2 linked regions of the Cricetulus griseus genome follow. The protein of the gene in region 1 purifies or fractionates together with the protein of each later gene. This does not show direct contact. Links are inferred from orthologs where the notes say so. Each region holds a gene or a part of one and is shown in the gene's direction. Other genes may lie near its edges.

Region 1 (4,389 bases):
CGCAGCTGCAACTTGCACGAAGGACGCTGGGAAAAAGCGCCTCTCGCAGCCGCTCCGAGCTGGCGGCCCCCGTGCACCTGGCGGCCGACACCACAGGCCGGAGGCGGCGCGGCGCGGCGCGTCCCCGGGACGCGGCCCAAGCGAGCACCGCAGGAGGGCCAGACCCAGCCGCCCCAGGCCGGCCCCGGCCAGCTGCGGCCCCGCGCGCACTGCCTCCCCGGGACACCTGCCCCGTGTAAAAGTACACTCGAGGCCGTCGCGGTGCACGCAGACTCACTCTCTCACTCCACACCCCCAGAACGCGCTCGTCTCCAGCCTGGAAACAGGCCCCTCCCCGCGCAGCTGTCGCCGCCGCCTGCGGGCTCCTTTCACTTTCTCACGGCCAAGTCACCCAGAGGGGCGCCGCTGCCGCCGCCGCCGCCAGCGCCAGCGCCGCCGCCGCCGCCGCGGCCCGCGGACTCCGCCTCCCCCTCGAAGAGGCCACGCCCACCCAACAGTCGCCCCCTGCGATTGGCGCGCGCGGGCGGCAGCTCCTACCCGCCACTGCCATTGGCCGAGCTTCCCCGTCAGTCCCGCCGCCCCTCCGCCCACCCCGTCACGCCGCTCTTCTATTGGGCAACGCTGCGACCGAGGGCGGGCCAGCGACCGGGGCCCGCCGCTTTCGCTCAATCGCCGAGCGGCCGGCGCGGGGCGGCCCGGCCGGGCGGGGCCACATCTGGGCCGCGCGCCGCGGCGTGCGTGCGTGTGCGTCGTCCGCCCGCCCCGCCCGCCGCCGGCCCGGCGCCGCGCTCGCCCGCCCGCCGCGCCCGCCGCCCGCCCGCCGCCCGCTCCGCGCCCGTACGTCTGGCAGGCTGCGGCCGCGCTGGGGCTGCCTGATGGCCGTTAAAGAGTGGCCCGTGGCTCGGCGGCGCGCCTCAGGCTGCCACGCGGGCGGGGGCGGCGGGGGCGCGCGGGCCCGGGCCGGGGCCGGCGGCGGGCGGGGGCCGGCGGAGGACGCCCACAAGTCCAGCGGCGGCGGCAGAGGAGGAGGAGGAGGAGGACGGCGGCGGGGACGCGGCGACTCGGCCGCTCCGTGTGAGTCCCCGCCCCGCCCTGCCCCGCTGCCGGCCGTGGGTCCCGCCGGGGGAGTTAGTTAGTGCGGCGGAGGGGGCGGCGGCGGTGCGGTGCGGTGCGGTGCGGGCTCGCCTCGCCTCGCCTCGCCTGGCCGCGCTCCCCGGCAGCTGCGGCGCGGGGCGGCCGGTGCACTGCGGCGGCGCCTCCCGTGCGGAGGGCGGCGGGCGGGCGGGCGAGCGGGCGGGGAGGGGTCCGGGCCGCCGCAGCTGCAGCGCCCGGGACGGCCGCGGCTCCGGGGCCGGTGCAGCTGCAGGGCCGGGGGGGAGGGCGCGGCGCCCGGGTTGCGGTTGCCGGGAGGCCCGGGGCTGGCGCGCGGCGGCGGCGGCGGCGGGGAGCGGTCGCCGCGCCGCTTCTTGCGACTTTTCTTTTGTTGTTGCCGCGACCCGGGGCTGTTTTCTCGGCCGTTGTGGAAGGTGTTTTCCTGCTGCACCGGCTCTCTGCCCTGCACCTCCTTCCCAGTGGTTTCACCCTTCCTCTTTCCCCAAGTGCTTTATGCACGGCGAACTGCGCGAAGATTTGCATCCCCCCCCTCCACCCCAAAACCTCAAACACACCCGGGGCACCCTGCCCCCACCTCTGAGAAACAAAACCCCAAACCTCACAGAGCCCCCGCGGGTCCGCGGTAGCGAGACTTGGACGGGATGTCTCCGGGCCATTGCGGTCCTTGGGGCTCATTAAACTGTCACTCACCCCCACCATCACCCCAGTGAGTAAACGGGGTGATTAACGTCGGATATATTGGAATGGGGCGAGGGCATCCGCGGAGAAGAGGGTGTGTGTAGCAGGGAAGTAATGTGTCTGCCCAGTGTGCCTCCAGAACGAGTTCAGAATTATGTCATTCACCGCGAAGTTAGAGAAAGTTAGGTTTCTTAGTGACTCGTGAGCGAGGGCAGGACAGAGTTGGGGTTTTGTTCTCTAGCTCCCTGCCTCCGTTTTCTAAGGCGAGCCTAAGAGTGGCTGTCGCCCGGGTTGGGACGTTTGCGCCTCAGGCCCCAGTTTCTTTTTTCTACTCCTCGACCTCCCAAGAGTCTGTAGAGATAGATGTGTCTGACATTCATAGTTGTCGCAGCACCTTGCAGGGAACCGGGCGGCCCAGCCCGGGTTACCTTAGCATTTCATCAGCCATTAGAAACTAAGACCCACAAACTCCAGCCAAGAAAGTTCCCAAAGTCTACACTCCTGCTGATCACAACCCTTTAGCCCAAAGGGATAGGGAAGAAGGGCAAGACAAAGTGACGCCTTTTTCTGAGCAGAAACATGAGATGTGGCCAAACAGTCATCCTAAGTGACTGCAGCAGGTTGTGTCGGTTTATTAATTTGCCTTTATTGAACCGAAATACTTTCCAGGATTTCACAAAGTGCAGTTTCAGTTTGTTGACGCTGAGAATGGAAATCTGCATTCACGGTGGCAGTGTGAATTATTTTCCTGGGAGGTAGTTGCAGATAAGTTGCTAAGTAAGAGTGAAATAATAAGGTGAACCACGCTGAAGTAATAGCTCTTAATAAGTCTGCCAACATTTTGGAGATGTCTACCATTATCTCCGCGGGGGGAGGAAAAAAAAAAACATGCTGTAATAATGCCGAAGTGGGGCTGGAGATGTCAAATGGGTTGGTTTAAAAATATCCCTAAGCTGCCTTTGAAACTAGACGTTGGAGTTGAATAAAAGTGAATGTGGGTTTCCTGAATAGCACCGAGCCTGAGTGTGCTGTCATATGTAAGCCAGTCCACCAACTTGAGGCAGAAGTGTTGCGATTCCATAAATACAGTAGGACTCCATATGCTGAGTTTTTCAATTTCTTCTGTTAGAAAGTTTGGGGGGAAAAAAAGGAAGACTTTGAAGTATTTTGTTTATACTAACAGAAGAGAAAAGTTCTCCTAAGAAAAAGCTGGTGGCAGGAGTGTAGAGGAGTAGCATATGGCATTAAAGGAGCACAGCTGGAGGTAGCATTTCCATCTGAACATGATGTCAGAGCAGCTGACAGCCTGCCATCCCTCAGCCTTTTATTCTAACACACAGACAGGGAGCTAGTGTGTGCGGATCTGTGGTGGAGAAGGTATCTCATTCCTCTCCAACATCATCTCCACTTTGCATCTGTCTCTCTTAGTCTGCTTTTTTTCCACCGATGTAACAGACCTGGAGCCAGCAAGACTCCGAGGGAAGGACTTAATCAAGTTTATGTGTCCTAAAGGTAGGAGTAGCAAGAGATTAGATTGAGCATCTTTCTGTTTGGGTGTTTTATTTAATTTTTTTAAAAAAACATCACATTACTTTTGTAATCCACTTTATGAATAATGTGTGAAATTGAGCATGAAGTGATGGTCTTGAGCTGGAAGTCTTGGGCTTGCTTGGTTTGAATTTTTATTTCTTTTCTTTGAGCAAGTAAATAACTTTAATACACAGAAATATTTCAAGTTTTCAGATGGTAAGAAAGGCTTTGGAATATGGCTTTTTGAGATCACTTTGGATTAAGATGCCTTTTGTTGTTCACTGCTGTTTAGATTCCTTTTGCTTTAGGGGGGCAGAAACAGTAAACTGTCTGGAATCCAGCTTTCAAACTTATATGAGAAGATTATTCTGGTTAAGAAGCTAGGTTGTTGTGTAATTAATTCCACTGTGAAACTTTATTCTCCAAAACATTCGGCAAGCATTACTGAAAGCAGCATACAGCTGTAGTGCTTTTGAAACCGGAGGGTTTTTGTTGTTGGGATTTTTTTGTTTTTGTTTTTTAAGAAGAGGGGAGAAGAAAAAGAAAGACAACTTTTATCCCTAGGAGAATAGTTTGACCAGTTTCCTCATTTCTCTTTCAGATATATATTTAAGAGATCTTTTATTTCAGCGTAACAATAATTATTTGCAGGAGTTTCTGCGTTAGCGACTAATTTAGAACTTGTAGATTCGAGCTGCCTGAATTGGCCAGACAGCTGTAATCGCACTCCTCTATTCTTAATCTCTTTATCTGGGCAGCAGCTGCCATATGGCCACAGTCAGCTGGATCAGATGTTTATAAGCTTCCTTCTTCGTCCCTCTCTGTCCTCTCAGCCTCCTAATTTGATCACGGCTACCTTGTGAGCTGGCCTCCAGTCTTTATTTTTAGCCCTCTCCAGGGTTGGGATTGATGTTAGCTGTGGGGCACTTAAAGTGATTGTATTGTAAATCTTGGTTCATTCTAGTGGTGGTGTCTTCCAGAAGGTATCTGGGGTTAGGATGAGAGTTTCACTGTCTCAGCATGGTGAGGACAAGGAGGGAAGCTGGTTCTGAATGTTAACTCCATACC
Region 2 (3,730 bases), on another chromosome or scaffold:
TGCAAGTCCGAGTTGGAGGACAAGTGGATTGTTGTTTTTCCACCTCTGCTGTCTGGTGACAGGGGTAGCTAGGGATGTGATCCATAGGGGTCAAGGAAGGAAGTATGCAAATGCCAAGCCTGTGACCTTGAAGTCTGGACCATCAAGTCTTCGTACCTTTACTTTTACAGTTTATGAAGGACTGGTGTGTCCTTCATATGTGTGTCTTCTCATAGTCACATTGACTCTGGGGAAGGGCTGTGTATAGCAACACCTCTGTTCCACAGCTGGAGTCCTTGTGCTTAGTGTTGTCTATCAGGCAGCTCCATTATGGGTGGTCACTGAGACCTGTGTCACAGTCCAGGTATCCAGTTCCAGACTGGAAGCACTCAGTGATTTTTCACCAGCCCTGTTAAACATAGGTGTGACAATCCAAAGGACATTGCTTTTCTGTGACATGTGTTCTCTGAGGCACTTACTTGGCACTGGCAGCTTGGGGCAGCCTCTGCACCTGGAGGCAAGAAAGGTGACTGTGAACTCTACTGCAGCTGTTGCACGGTTACCTTTGGCCTGCTCAGTGGGAGACTGTGGTGACTTGTTTCTTGCCTTTACCCCCCCCCCCCCACTGTGCCTACTCCATGGTCCATACTCCTGGCTAACTCTTTTGGAGGCCCTGGGGCTGGACAAGGTCCTGCCTGGTGTTGTCTGCTACTGTGGAGCTACCTTTGGTCTCCATGAGGTGTCTGCTGCCCTGCCCAAGGTGGCTATAGTACCTGGGACTACTGTGTTGGCTGTGTACTTGTGAAGCCCTTGGTACTGTACTTGGCCCCATGTGGGGTCTAGTTTTTTAGGGTGTCGTGTTAGGAGCAAGCTGATTTCATATCCATAAAGGCTTTTGTGGAGCTAGGAAACAGACCCAGACCTCACACTCACTGGGCAAGTGCTCTTTGGAGTTGCACTCCAGGCCTAAGGTTCTTTCTCACCTTGGTCTGGGAGGTGGGTTCTGAGAGTGTGGTAGCCCTTTTTTCCTGTCGCAGTTTTTTGGCCCTTGAAATCTACCACTAGGAATGATACCAGGTTGGGTCACATGCTAAAATCACTGTGGTCTCTCTGTGGGGTTCTGGGCAGTTACACAGTGGTTTTTAGGCAGCAAAGAGTGAACAGGCACTTTCCTGAATCATATTCTTTTGTGTCTGCACATTTTTGTGTTGACAAGATAGCTTACAGCTGTAGGATGCCAGGGCTGAGGTGCCTCCTACCTCCTCTGTACCCTTGTCCCCTATATCCCCACTAGGGTCTCCAAAGATTTCAGGTCCTGCGCCCTTGAGGTCTGAGTCCACTCAGTCATCAGTGAAATGTTGCAAACTCCTATTTCCTTCTTCCTGGTTTTAATTTGCTTTCTACAAAGCCTTGTGTAGCCAGAGGCTGAGTGCAGTAAGTTCTCAGGGCTGATTTCCCCAGCCCTAGTGGGTAATACAGTTCTCAGATCATAGACTAGAGCTGCTGAGGGCATTAAGTGGTCTGCTCCTTTCTTGCAGGCGTCCGACCTCCCATCATGAACGGGCCCTTGCACCCCCGGCCCCTGGTGGCGCTGCTGGATGGCCGGGACTGCACAGTGGAGATGCCTATCCTGAAGGATGTGGCCACAGTAGCCTTCTGTGATGCACAGTCCACACAGGAGATCCATGAGAAGGTAGTGTCTTAAGTTGGCCAAGTTTCATGGGGTACAGGGGGGCTCCAGAGCATGGGCCATGCAACCTCAGGCTGCAATCTCAGTCAGCACACAGCACTAGTCATGCTCCTTGGTCTCTGGCAACAGTAGGTCTAAATACCACAAGGTCTTGTATGGCCTGTCACTGTGCCTGGCCTTGTCAGGAGGTAAATATTTCTTACTCTGTATTTTCTTGGTTTCTTACATCACAGCCAGTTATTAGAAGAAGTGGAACTGTGGGCATCTGCCAGTGATTATGCTGGATGCTACCTGGAATATAGCAGGTCACAGTATCTTTACCCACAGTACCTACGGAGAGCTTGTTGTTGGGTGGTTAGCAGCTCTGAGCAGCTTCCGTGATTCATGTTTGCTCAGATCTGTTGGGTTCTTCCATGACCTGGAGTGTGCTCATCTGGTTTCTGGTTGTGTCATAGCCAATTCAGACTTTGCACTGGAGACAGCTTGAAAACATTCTTTACCACAAATCTAAAAAACCTTCAGGAGCTGACAAGGTAGAACCAGTCAGGGATTGCAACCATGAGCGACCTGGCATCTGCTCTTATGGACAGTCTGGTTGGGTAGCCTGGAGATTTGCTCCTCTGGGAGGAGTGGTGAGCTCTGGTCTTGGTGGCATCATGGCCTTGGAGGGTGAGCCTGTTGGCCCATTGCAGATGTTGCCTCAGACCCAGAGAGCAGTGAAACCCGTATCTGAATGTACCTTCACCTAGCCTATTACCCAGCCTTGTAAGTCTGCCAGGCATGGGATTTAGCATATAGTGGACCTATAGCCCTGCTCCCCAGGGGCTGTAGAGTCATCTGGGACAGTCATTCCAGCCTGGCCTCAGTATGTGTCTATAGTCTTTGGGCACTCACTCAGCTATAAGGAGGCAAGGCTCTGTGAGGAGAAGAGAGCTTCTCACCAGCAGGAACCCCAGTTTGACTGTGGGGTGGGCTGCCTTCAGGCAAGAAAGAGACAGTGCTATCTTGGGGTTCATGTAGCAGGTATGGGGGAGCAATACAAGACACAGAGCTGTACTATAGTAAAGCTAAAAGTGAGAATCACTCCTTTGGGCATAGTAAGTAGTAGGGAGGAAGGGATCAGAAGTCCTGATTCTTATGCCTTGTGGTGAGAGTGGGGAATGGGAGGAGCAAGGAGTGGGCAAGGTAATAGAATCCATAACTAAAGAGGGAAGGAACTAGATGCAAAAGCTGGAGACACTGTGGTGGAAGATTTCCCCAGACAATAGGAAACTGTGTTAGTGAAGGGCCTTGAGCCTGTGGCATGGCATGGCATGGCATGGACAGTAGTCAGTGGCACTCTGTATTGATATACAACCTTTCAGCATTCTAGCAGCCTTTGTAGCAGACATGACATGCACTATCATCATCATCTGTATTTGAAGGTATGGCAGCTTGATTCACAGTAGCCCAAATTGGGCAACCACCAGTACCCTTTGGTGATATGGCTGTGAAGATTGTATCCTGCCACAGATCCTGCCTGACTCAGGAAAGGGGTGACCTATAGGCACACAGCACCTTGGGTGTATGTCACCTTCCCCCTTTTTGCTGGCCGGCTGGAAATCTGATATGATGGCTGAAGCCTTGGGTAGGTACCTTGTACTATAAGAGGGAAGCCATATACTGGTAATGGTATAGCTACAAGGCAAGAGTCTAGTACCCAAATAACTATGAAGATGTAACTGAACGTGTGGGACACCTGTCTCTAGATGTGGGAAGTAAGTAACTGTCTTATATATTCTTGTTATGTGGGAATTTCCACCTTTTAGAGCAAGAAGTCCTCACAACTGGCTGAGTGTCACTGTCTACATTGCAGATGAGAATGTTACACTATCAATGAAGAACATGATGAAGAAAACTTCCCAGAGACCTTGGCTCTTCTGCCATGGACCCAGCAGGACTATGAGAGGGGATAGGAGACGCCCACTGGGTGTGGGAAAGTCACCTTGTAGCAGGAATCTCAAAGCACCCCTGGGCTGGGTGCTGTACAACTTCTCAGCCAAATGACCTTCAGCCCAGGGC

What was found. Proteins that work in one complex are often made in the same cells at the same time.
Region 2: the proteins of Zbtb18 (region 1) and Ctbp1 purify together in Homo sapiens (affinity purification with mass spectrometry; 3 studies listed by BioGRID and IntAct, counting the BioPlex papers as one, with this or other methods). This does not show direct contact. The link is inferred for Cricetulus griseus from reciprocal best matches to the Homo sapiens genes ZBTB18 and CTBP1.

The regions. Positions count from the first base shown.
Region 1 is NC_048598.1:16,377,822-16,382,210, reverse strand, and holds the start of Zbtb18 (zinc finger and BTB domain-containing protein 18), read left to right. Parts: upstream 1-1,446; 5' UTR 1,447-3,290; coding exon 3,291-3,303; intron 3,304-3,316; exon of another isoform or gene 3,317-4,389.
Region 2 is NW_023276807.1:102,309,931-102,313,660, reverse strand, and holds part of Ctbp1 (C-terminal-binding protein 1), read left to right. Parts: intron 1-1,517; coding exon 1,518-1,672; intron 1,673-3,524; exon of another isoform or gene 3,525-3,730. UniProt on the Homo sapiens protein: Corepressor targeting diverse transcription regulators such as GLIS2 or BCL6. Has dehydrogenase activity. Involved in controlling the equilibrium between tubular and stacked structures in the Golgi complex.